Linked DNA regions of Arabidopsis thaliana. The protein of the gene in region 1 interacts with the protein of each later gene in a pairwise test. Each region holds a gene or a part of one and is shown in the gene's direction. Other genes may lie near its edges. The genes, in order: ZF3, ARR6 and AT5G51190.

What was found.
Region 2: the proteins of ZF3 (region 1) and ARR6 interact in a two-hybrid assay, tested with the Arabidopsis thaliana proteins (one large-scale study listed by BioGRID).
Region 3: the proteins of ZF3 (region 1) and AT5G51190 interact in a two-hybrid assay, tested with the Arabidopsis thaliana proteins (one large-scale study listed by BioGRID).

What each region holds. Positions count from the first base shown.
Region 1 is NC_003076.8:17,330,373-17,333,319, reverse strand, and holds ZF3 (zinc-finger protein 3), read left to right. Parts: upstream 1-1,673; 5' UTR 1,674-1,688; coding exon 1,689-2,270; 3' UTR 2,271-2,375; downstream 2,376-2,947. Other genes in the region: QWRF9 (QWRF motif protein (DUF566)), read right to left, coding at 2,584-2,628, 2,706-2,813, 2,908-2,947. UniProt on the Arabidopsis thaliana protein: Transcriptional repressor probably involved in abiotic stress responses. Binds DNA in a sequence-specific manner and can repress the transactivation activity of other transcription factors.
Region 2 is NC_003076.8:25,252,600-25,256,361, reverse strand, and holds the start of ARR6 (response regulator 6), read left to right. Parts: upstream 1-2,043; 5' UTR 2,044-2,203; coding exon 2,204-2,354; intron 2,355-2,437; coding exon 2,438-2,514; intron 2,515-2,593; coding exon 2,594-2,671; intron 2,672-2,759; coding exon 2,760-2,830; intron 2,831-3,433; coding exon 3,434-3,617; 3' UTR 3,618-3,762. Other genes in the region: AT5G62930 (SGNH hydrolase-type esterase superfamily protein), read right to left, coding at 5-173, 290-454, 554-630, 722-862, 1,274-1,528. UniProt on the Arabidopsis thaliana protein: Functions as a response regulator involved in His-to-Asp phosphorelay signal transduction system. Phosphorylation of the Asp residue in the receiver domain activates the ability of the protein to promote the transcription of target genes.
Region 3 is NC_003076.8:20,799,839-20,803,157, reverse strand, and holds AT5G51190 (Integrase-type DNA-binding superfamily protein), read left to right. Parts: upstream 1-1,720; 5' UTR 1,721-1,784; coding exon 1,785-2,450; 3' UTR 2,451-2,685; downstream 2,686-3,319. Other genes in the region: AT5G51195 (Ta11-like non-LTR retrotransposon), read left to right, coding at 1-52; AT5G51180 (alpha/beta-Hydrolases superfamily protein), read right to left, coding at 3,229-3,300.

The sequences.
Region 1 (2,947 bases):
CACGGAATAATTTGAGATTCCGACAAGATCAGATTCACACTCGTTTGCTTGTCTTAAGATCACCCTTACAGAGACAGATAAAATTTAATAAGTCAAAAGTCATTGTCCATAATAAAAACAAAGAAACACAGCTCGGAAATGTATTCTTGTCTCTAAGTTTGAGTTAAGGTACAATGCATTAATCTCACCGATTAGCTATTCATTGGTTGTTAGATCTATTTTTTCAACATCCCGTTACTAGATTAATTATAAAGTTTTTTCTTTCTAAAGATTACACACAAGTTTATACTAGATGTTGTTAAGCTATTGATGATTCAACCATGCATAATCTGTTACCGACGATTCTCCCATTGCAACATAACCCAAAAGGTCCCCCTTCCGCTTGTGAAAGGAAAAACTAAAGGTTTAGAGATATATGCACACATTATATTCGTGAAAGCACATGCATGACCCATATGTTTTTCAAGAGTTTACGAAGGTCATCGTTGCTCAGGCCACCAAACTTTGCTGGTATATCTGCTTCGGTAGCTTGTCTTAAACTCGTTAGTTGCAGCAAGCCTAAGAATCATTACACTTCATTAGGCTTTTCGTTTTTAGGCATCTAACATGATGTGTCTTTTAGATCTCGTAATGTGAGAAAAGAGAGAGAGATAGGTTACTCTTAGAGAATTAGGTTAATTAATTGTTGGAAATTATTTTTTAGTTAGCATAAAGACCTAATTATATAAGTAATTATACAATCTATATTATAACGTAAATAGCTAGTAAAAATGATACAACTTAGATTCTAACCTAAACGTGAAAAAAGCACCCATAATCCTAACTTTAAAAGAAAAGTCCCAAAACCTTATACTAAAGAGAAGACCATTAAACCAAAACTCTTATACCGTATCATGACACAAGTTGTTGAATCCAATTTAGTGTAACTTCAACTCTAGACATTCACGCATTTGAATTAAAACCAATAAAGAAAATTTCATGATTCTTGGTTGCAATGGGCTGTGGGAATTAAGTTATAAGCTCTTTGTTTCTTGTTGTCATGAGTTCTCTACCGAAACATCCAATCATCTTTTATATTCAAGGTTTCCTCATTATAATCTTAATCTACACACATTGCCTCCGTTTTCAAATGTTTGGACCAAGTAATGAATGCTATTGGGTTTGTTCAGAAATTCCCAAAGGTACAACAAACCTACACTTAAATAAATAACTACATATATAAGCAAAGTGTTAAAACATAAATGAAAAGCTAGATGAATATTAATTGTAAAATACGGCCTAAGTTTAGAGACAAGGTTTTTATTAGTTTTAAAGAATCAATCATTATTGTGTGTAGTTGGATTCAAATGTCAACTCTCAACTAGTCAGAAGAAGAGTATATAGCCCGACTTGTGTAACATTTCTCTCCCCCACAAAACGTGCCAAAATTAATATATTCCACTCTCACCAAATGTTGAAATAATATTTTAATTATACATTCACTTTCGTTACAACTTACAACAAACAACTTGCTCAGCACATATTTCGTTTCAACTAAATACTTAAAATAATTAGAATGGCCAATTTGGCCACCCACTCTCACTCTTCTTTCTCACGCAACTTCCTCTCTTCTCAAGATTCTTCTCCATACTTCACCTTCTTCTATATATCTCTCTGCTCTCAAATTAGGTTTTAAATTTTCTATAGCAATGGCGCTTGAAGCTCTTAATTCACCAAGATTGGTCGAGGATCCCTTAAGATTCAATGGCGTTGAGCAGTGGACCAAATGTAAGAAACGATCCAAACGTTCGAGATCTGATCTTCATCATAACCACCGTCTCACTGAGGAAGAGTATCTAGCTTTCTGTCTCATGCTTCTTGCTCGGGATGGCGGCGATCTTGACTCTGTGACGGTTGCGGAGAAGCCGAGTTATAAGTGTGGCGTTTGTTACAAGACGTTTTCGTCTTACCAAGCTCTCGGCGGTCATAAAGCGAGCCACCGGAGCTTATACGGTGGTGGAGAGAATGATAAATCGACACCATCCACCGCCGTGAAATCTCACGTTTGTTCGGTTTGCGGGAAATCTTTCGCCACCGGTCAAGCTCTCGGCGGCCACAAGCGGTGCCACTACGATGGTGGCGTTTCGAACTCGGAAGGTGTGGGGTCTACTAGCCACGTCAGCAGTAGTAGCCACCGTGGATTTGACCTTAATATTATACCGGTGCAGGGATTTTCGCCGGACGACGAAGTGATGAGTCCGATGGCGACTAAGAAGCCTCGCCTGAAGTAAGTCTTTGTTGAAGACCTGGAAGTTTATCAAATGTAAATATCAAATTTCAATTTCAAGGAACAGTTTTGTTGATTCTATTACCAATACACAATACGATTCAATTCCTTTGTTTCTGAAGTAACAGCATACTAAATTCATTAGAAAACCGAATCGAAAATATTTACAACTGACTTTTGTTTGGTTGTTAAACTATCAAGTGAATTTGGCCTCTCTATTTGAATTAGATGATCTCCTTACATTCTCATAACTCCAAAATTGCCGATAATGAGTAGCTTTCTTACTTACACTCTGTTTTGTTAACTTTGCCACCTTACTATTGTAGCTGTGTAACCTGTGTCCTCAAACTGCATTCTGTTACCTGCATAGTTTAGAGATTAATCCCCAACACTGTAGGTATAGTGCAGACAAATCTATAATGAATTTGAGATATTGTACCTGCAGAGCTGAGATTGTGTTTAGAAGGTCCCGGCACACGTCGAGCATCCCTTCGTCCTTGGCATTCACACGGCCAAGTTCTGCTGCCAAGCTACTTATTTTCCCAACCTGGGATATTGGCTTTCACTTTGAAGATACAATATGAATAAAACGCAATAGAAGATTGTGCCATAAACATTATCCGAGAGAAAAGAAGAGTCACCTTTGGCAGCAACAAGCATATGGAAGATGCCATTGCTTGC
Region 2 (3,762 bases), 7.9 Mb from region 1:
ATCGTTATAAGCAACGCTCTTCAAAAGCTTTCGATGGGTTTTTACCATCGATATGCGAATGATGGGGGAAATCAAACGGCATTTCTTCGGGAGAGAGCCAAGCTTCTCTAAAAACTCTCGAGACTTCATCAAAAACTACCCCATTGCCTTCAGGCGTGAGATGGAGCCCATCACTGCTTATAGCCAACAACAACGAGCAAGAACCATTTATAAACAACAAACATGATTGAGGAGGAGATGAGTGTTTGTGAAAAACCAACAACATTTCAGATCAGACTTAGATACAGACCTTAGGTACTTTTTCTGCCAATCATTGGTTTCCTGCATCTTAGACCATAAGTTGACACATCGCAGACCGAGTTCCTCGGCCAATGCAACACAATGTTGTGCATATACCCCTGTTGTTTCGTTTGTTCTCTCAGGCTCTTTCATAGCTTTCTCACCGTAGATTGATCTGATGTAACACAATCACTGGCTCATTTAAGAAACATGTCGGACTAAATGCTTTGAGAAACAAAAATGCAAAGAAGAAAAGGATCATAATAAAGCCTACTCTGCATAACTTTGACGTCCAGCTTCATCAATTGGTGGTGGAGTTATAAGCACAATTAGCATTGTAGGTGAACATTTCTACAAAACAGAGTCATTAGTCTTTAAAGGAATCACACTTCAAGAAAAGTAAGTCCATGCATTAGAGTGGATCAAAGAAGCATATCAAAACCTTCAAATGCTGAACAATCTTTCTGACATTATCTGTGTACTCTTCCACCGGCACATGTTGTCTATCACTGGTTCTTCCTTTGAGAGCTGCATCGTTTGCACCGAAGAATATCGTCGTAGCAACAGGAGGAGACGAAGAGCCCTAGGCAAAAAGACAGAGTAGAACACATACTGAGATAGGCACACCAAAACAACACGCACTACAAGAAGAGTTCTCATGATATATGCAGATGTAATTGCCTTTTACCATCTCAAAATTCAAATCTAAATCTTTCGTACTTCAACCAATCCATGACAATGTCATAAAACCAACACATCCTAGAATCATATCAAAACCATTCAGAACTGAACCATAACAAGCATAAGCAAAACAAAAAATGATGCACAAGAGACAATAACTCAAGATCTATATCCACACAGATCATACACACAATCACAACAGCTCATGAACAAAATCATCCCAATGACTACCAAAATTCGTTCGTGTTTAGATCAAATTTCAAATCAACATTTGTAGACTCGAGGGAGGGAGAGAGAGATAAAAAGTACTGACGAGAGGGAAGATGTGATGAAGCAAGAAGAGAGCCCATCGGGTGTTGTAGCCGCCGTAGCCTCGAACCACAACATCAGCCTTGCGAGAGTAAGCGTCGGCAAGAGCAGATCCCCAACCGCCGGACCTAAAAGACTGCGCCGTGATCGAGTCGCCGAACAGAACTATCTCCGGCCTCATCTCGCTGTCTCCCTCCGGTTCACTGAGTAAACCGTTAACTGTATTAGGAAACTTAAAGTCTCTTCTGGGCCAAATCATATGGGCCGGGCCTTTAGTATTAATTTGTTATATTTTTGGTGAATGAAAAGGTGGTAATCTAAAGAGGTTTTACTAATTGTAGATTAAGGATGCGTGTAATGTTTTAGTATTAGTTTATGATTTCTTGATTTCACATTTTTCTGTCTTGAGCTTAAGTCAAAACCTCAAAGTGAACTTCTACGTAGATGAAGTATTGAAGTGTAGAAGTTAAATGCGTGAACTTCCACAATTCAACTACAAACACACTTTTACCAAAAAAAACTACAAACACACACAAATAATTTAAAAATAAAAAAAGAATTCTACAAGTTATTGAATATCGGTTTGGGTCGGTTAAATCTTGCATCCCATTCCAAATTTTCTGGTTTGTTCTTCGTTTTGACTAAACTTGAACCGATTGGTTTGACTTTATTTCGGTTTTTTGTTTTAACTTATTTAATAATAAAAATCCACCGAACTATTATTTATATAAAATATAAAATAAAGATTTTGAAAGCAAATTGACAAAATCTTAAAGATATGCAAAATCTCTCGATTTCATTCATATTTTTTCCCTCTTTTATTTCTTTCTTTCTTTCTTTCTACTTATATAAATGGCCCAACCACTGCCACCATGGTTTCACATCATATCTTTCTCTTCCTTTTTCTTCCAAATCCTCCAACATTCGTTGATCAATGGCTGAAGTTATGCTACCGAGGAAGATGGAGATTCTCAACCATTCTTCAAAGTTTGGATCACCGGATCCTCTTCATGTTCTTGCCGTCGACGACAGTCACGTTGATCGTAAATTCATCGAGCGTTTGCTCAGAGTATCTTCTTGCAAAGGTAATTATTACTCATATTTTGAAAAATCAGTCTCTGAATTCGGGCAAGTTATCTGAGTAAAAAGCTCTGTTTTGGTTGTTCAGTTACTGTTGTTGATAGTGCAACAAGAGCTCTCCAATACCTTGGTTTGGATGTTGAGGAAAAATCAGTCGGTTTTGAGGTATAAAACAATTTCCAAGAGAAAACAAAATTTTGCCGTAGCTCTCAAGCAATATGTTAAATCGTGATTTGTGCTTCAGGATTTGAAGGTTAATTTAATTATGACTGATTACTCAATGCCCGGTATGACTGGATATGAACTCTTGAAGAAGATCAAAGTAAGCAAACAAACATATAATGATATAATTAGTCAATGGAATTTGAGTTTTATGTTTATCTAATCCTTTTTTACGTGATTTTCCACAGGAATCCTCAGCTTTTAGAGAAGTACCGGTGGTAATTATGTCCTCCGAGAACATTTTGCCTCGTATTGATAGGTATAAAACTTCATCATAATCTTAAGTCAAACTATAGTAAATTTGGTGAATATCTTTGTCTTAGATGATCAAAAAAAGAATTAGATAAAACAAAAAGGGATTAGATCACAAAGTAAAGTTCCTGCTCATATGGTTAAAAGTTAATTTCCTTAAACCATTTTTGGTGGTGGATATTGCATAATTAAACAAATGTTGAGATTTGGTGATCTTTAATGGGTCCCAAGATGATTTTGTGTATAAAGATGTTTCTAACCAGCAAAATCTTTACTTTGGGATTTGATTCTATTTCTGGTGATGTGATATTACAATAAAATAAGTACATGATCTTGCTTGCCTAATATTTGGTAGGGTATTGTGAAAGCCACCTCACATGCTTTTTCACTTTGCATACAATATTAGGAAACCTCTAGACCAAATAAAATAAAAAGGAATATGTATTTGTGTTACACACAATGGCCAACTCAATTACGAACTGGCCATTTTATGATTGTTTGCTACATATACAACAAAAAAAAAACTTATTGATCCAAAGCTATCATCAACTTTATTGAAATTGGAGTTTACTCAAACTGATTTTCTTGTGATTATTATTTTGTCATTCAGATGTCTTGAAGAAGGGGCTGAAGATTTCTTACTGAAGCCGGTAAAACTCTCGGATGTAAAAAGATTAAGAGATTCTCTAATGAAGGTTGAAGATTTGTCTTTCACAAAGAGTATTCAGAAGAGAGAGCTAGAAACAGAGAATGTCTACCCTGTTCACTCGCAGCTCAAACGCGCAAAGATCTGAGCTCTCCGATGCAAATTCCGTGACTGGATCTTAGAAAAAGCCTTTTCATATACAGAAGCTTCAAGACTCAATGCACTTGAGCCTACACTGATGATTCTCGCCAGCTTAATGACCTATACAATTTTCCAACCCCTATGGCCTTTTT
Region 3 (3,319 bases), 3.5 Mb from region 1:
GTTTAGGGATTTTTTTTACTGGGCAGCTATTTTAGGTTATTTGGAGAAGTGATCATTTATCGGTTTGAGACTATGTGGAGGCAAAATTGGAGTCGCCAGATACCTTTGATCGACGGCGTGAGTTGAATGCGAATGAATCTGGTCTAGTTTTCCAACACTAATCTTACTCCTTGTGTTTTCTGAACTTCAAAGATTTAACAAATTAACAGAAGTGGATGAATGAAACTGAAAACCCGAATCGAAACCAACCCAAAAAACCGGTTTGGGTCAAGTAGGATATAACTAATTTACCTATTGGATCCTATGTAATTGTAATCTTGGGTATCAGGTCGCTTCGGGTATTACCCGATACCCGAACGAGTAACCCGATTACCCAAAATTAGCTACACTTATATGGATAGAAGCTTTACTTACATCGGAAAATCGGACAATATTTTGGAAAATCTGATAATATTTCGGATAACTAGGTAAAAATTTCGGATAATCGGATATAATATCAGTTAATCAAGTAAAACTTCGAGTAATCAGGTACAATCAGATAGAAAAACATTTGAACTGAAAAGTACCGAGTTTATAGGTTATGAAATCTTAAATTCGACCCAAATCCGAATCGATACCAAACCCGTTTTTTATATATATCTTATTGGATCCTAAATTTCTTTACTTAAAAAAACCAAATCCGACATGCGTATCCAAATGTCGAGCACCTAGTGTAGGAGTTAGATTCTCATCCAATGTTTCTTATTTTGGTGGTAATTGTTTTAATGAAGTTAATTCTACCCTTAGCTCTTCTCCGCCTATGTTTGTAGGTCCTCTCGACCAGCACTTCTCCGACTTACCCGGTGTCCTTGGCATTTGTATCCATCTTGCGTTTCTGTATATTATTCGGGCCTATGCATGGTGACAAAAAATCTTGTATCTTTTTTCTTTTCATTGTTGTTCGTCAACAAGAATTTTTGAAGTAAGTAATTAAGACTTTTGTGATTAACCAACATTCGTGAAATGCTCCTCGTAAAACTTTTATTTCCAGCATTTTGTTTATACTCTTGTGGGGGCCGGAGTTTTTCAAAGCTTGACCATGAATTTATTGAACATCTTCTAATCTGATTTATTTGGCAAGTTGTTCTATATAACTTGCATGCAGGAAATTCAAACTTTCATTGTTCAAAATAGGCAAGTTGGTCTATATAAACAACAAAGAAACAAAAATGAAGTAACTTAAATTGAATAAAAGTTTCAAACAATTAAACGAAAAAAAACATAAGTTTCAAATATTGCGGCCAAATCATATAATCCACAGTGTGCCCAAACGAGAATCCAAGGCAGCAATACCATCTAACATAGGCACATAGTCAAGTGGACACATACACATTCGTGCATCCACCTTTTCCAAAATATAACTAAACTTTACCCTTAAAAGTAAGAAAAAAGTGTCAATTTTTCTTTCAAATATCTCTCAGAAAAACATTTTTAATTTGTGTCTGGGATATGAAGAAGCCTGGAAATAGACAATAGCTATGATGATGGACCCTCGCAAGAAAAAGACATAGCCACAAATCCTTCATTATCTTAAAATAATAAATGATAGAGTAGTCCACTTGCCACACTCCAAAGCAACAATAGAACTAAACAAGTCAAAACAATTGAAAAGGATCCTTCCTCTCTCCAACCCAAGAAGCTAGCTACGAAACCTCTCAATCCCACTTTTATATATAACCTCCAATCTCAAAAACCAAAATCCATAATCAAAACCACAAAGAAGACTCCAACATAATTCATCATCTATGGCTTCTTCACATCAACAACAGCAAGAACAAGACCAGTCAGCTTTAGATCTCATAACCCAACACCTTCTTACTGATTTCCCTTCCTTAGACACCTTTGCCTCCACCATCCACCACTGCACCACCTCAACTCTAAGCCAACGCAAACCACCTCTTGCCACTATAGCAGTTCCTACTACTGCACCGGTGGTTCAAGAGAATGATCAAAGGCATTACAGAGGCGTCAGGAGAAGACCATGGGGTAAGTATGCGGCTGAGATCAGAGACCCAAACAAGAAAGGTGTTCGTGTCTGGTTAGGCACTTTTGACACAGCCATGGAAGCTGCAAGAGGTTATGACAAGGCAGCTTTTAAACTACGAGGAAGCAAAGCTATTCTTAACTTCCCACTTGAAGCAGGAAAGCATGAGGACTTGGGAGACAACAAGAAGACTATTTCTTTAAAAGCAAAGAGGAAGAGACAGGTGACGGAGGATGAAAGCCAGCTGATCAGCCGTAAAGCTGTTAAGAGGGAAGAAGCTCAGGTTCAGGCTGATGCTTGTCCATTAACGCCATCAAGTTGGAAGGGGTTTTGGGACGGAGCAGACAGTAAAGACATGGGAATATTTTCCGTGCCTCTGTTATCTCCTTGTCCATCTCTTGGACACTCTCAACTCGTAGTTACTTAAGCTTCAGAGGGTCAAACTGGAAAAAATCAACATTGGATTGTTTTCAAAGCTTCTAGATTAGCTGATTGTAAAAAAATGTTTTACTATATTCATTCATTCTTCTTAAATGCAATTCTTTCTACCCTTCCTTAAACGAGCTCAAACTTACAAAAACTTAGGGAGGTCTTAAACCAACAAACCTGTCTTTGCTAGATCACTATCAATGTCCAGCCTAAAGAGATACAGAATGTTCAAGACGCACAAATAGAAGAGAAAACTAATGCTCCACCAGAGCTTCGACTTCCAGATGTACTTGATGCTAAGGTTGTAACATGTTCACGTCATACAACATGGCAAGATTACGTAGACTATTTCAAGTCACCAAATCAAAGGAAACAACCAGAGAGAAATACTGAAGATGAAAGTGTACTGATTGCATTTTAGTCCTTCACCCTGAGAATGTTAAGACGTTGATTATCAAATGACACCACAAACTCAGTCGGTAGGAATTCTTCCAAGTAAAAAAAATATATAGGCACAAAGCTTCCATTGCAAAATATTTGTGAATACATGATACAATTGAATTGAACAATTTGCTTTGCTAATACCATGTATCAAATACATTGGTCATAATTGACGTCTTGCTACCTGTGCAATTACAGACAAAATGAGATGATTTTATAGTGTAAACAACTACGTGACATATAAACGTCCAGCTGGAAAATTGTTGCTCTACTATAAGAAATTTGAGTCCTTAATGTCGTGTCCCAAACTCTTGGGTGATGAAAAGTTTACTGATTTAAGCATGGAAATGATCGATGATATGCTCTATGACATCTGCTCCTTCTATATGCATATCTTCATTTTTAACCTGTAAACGGCATAACACA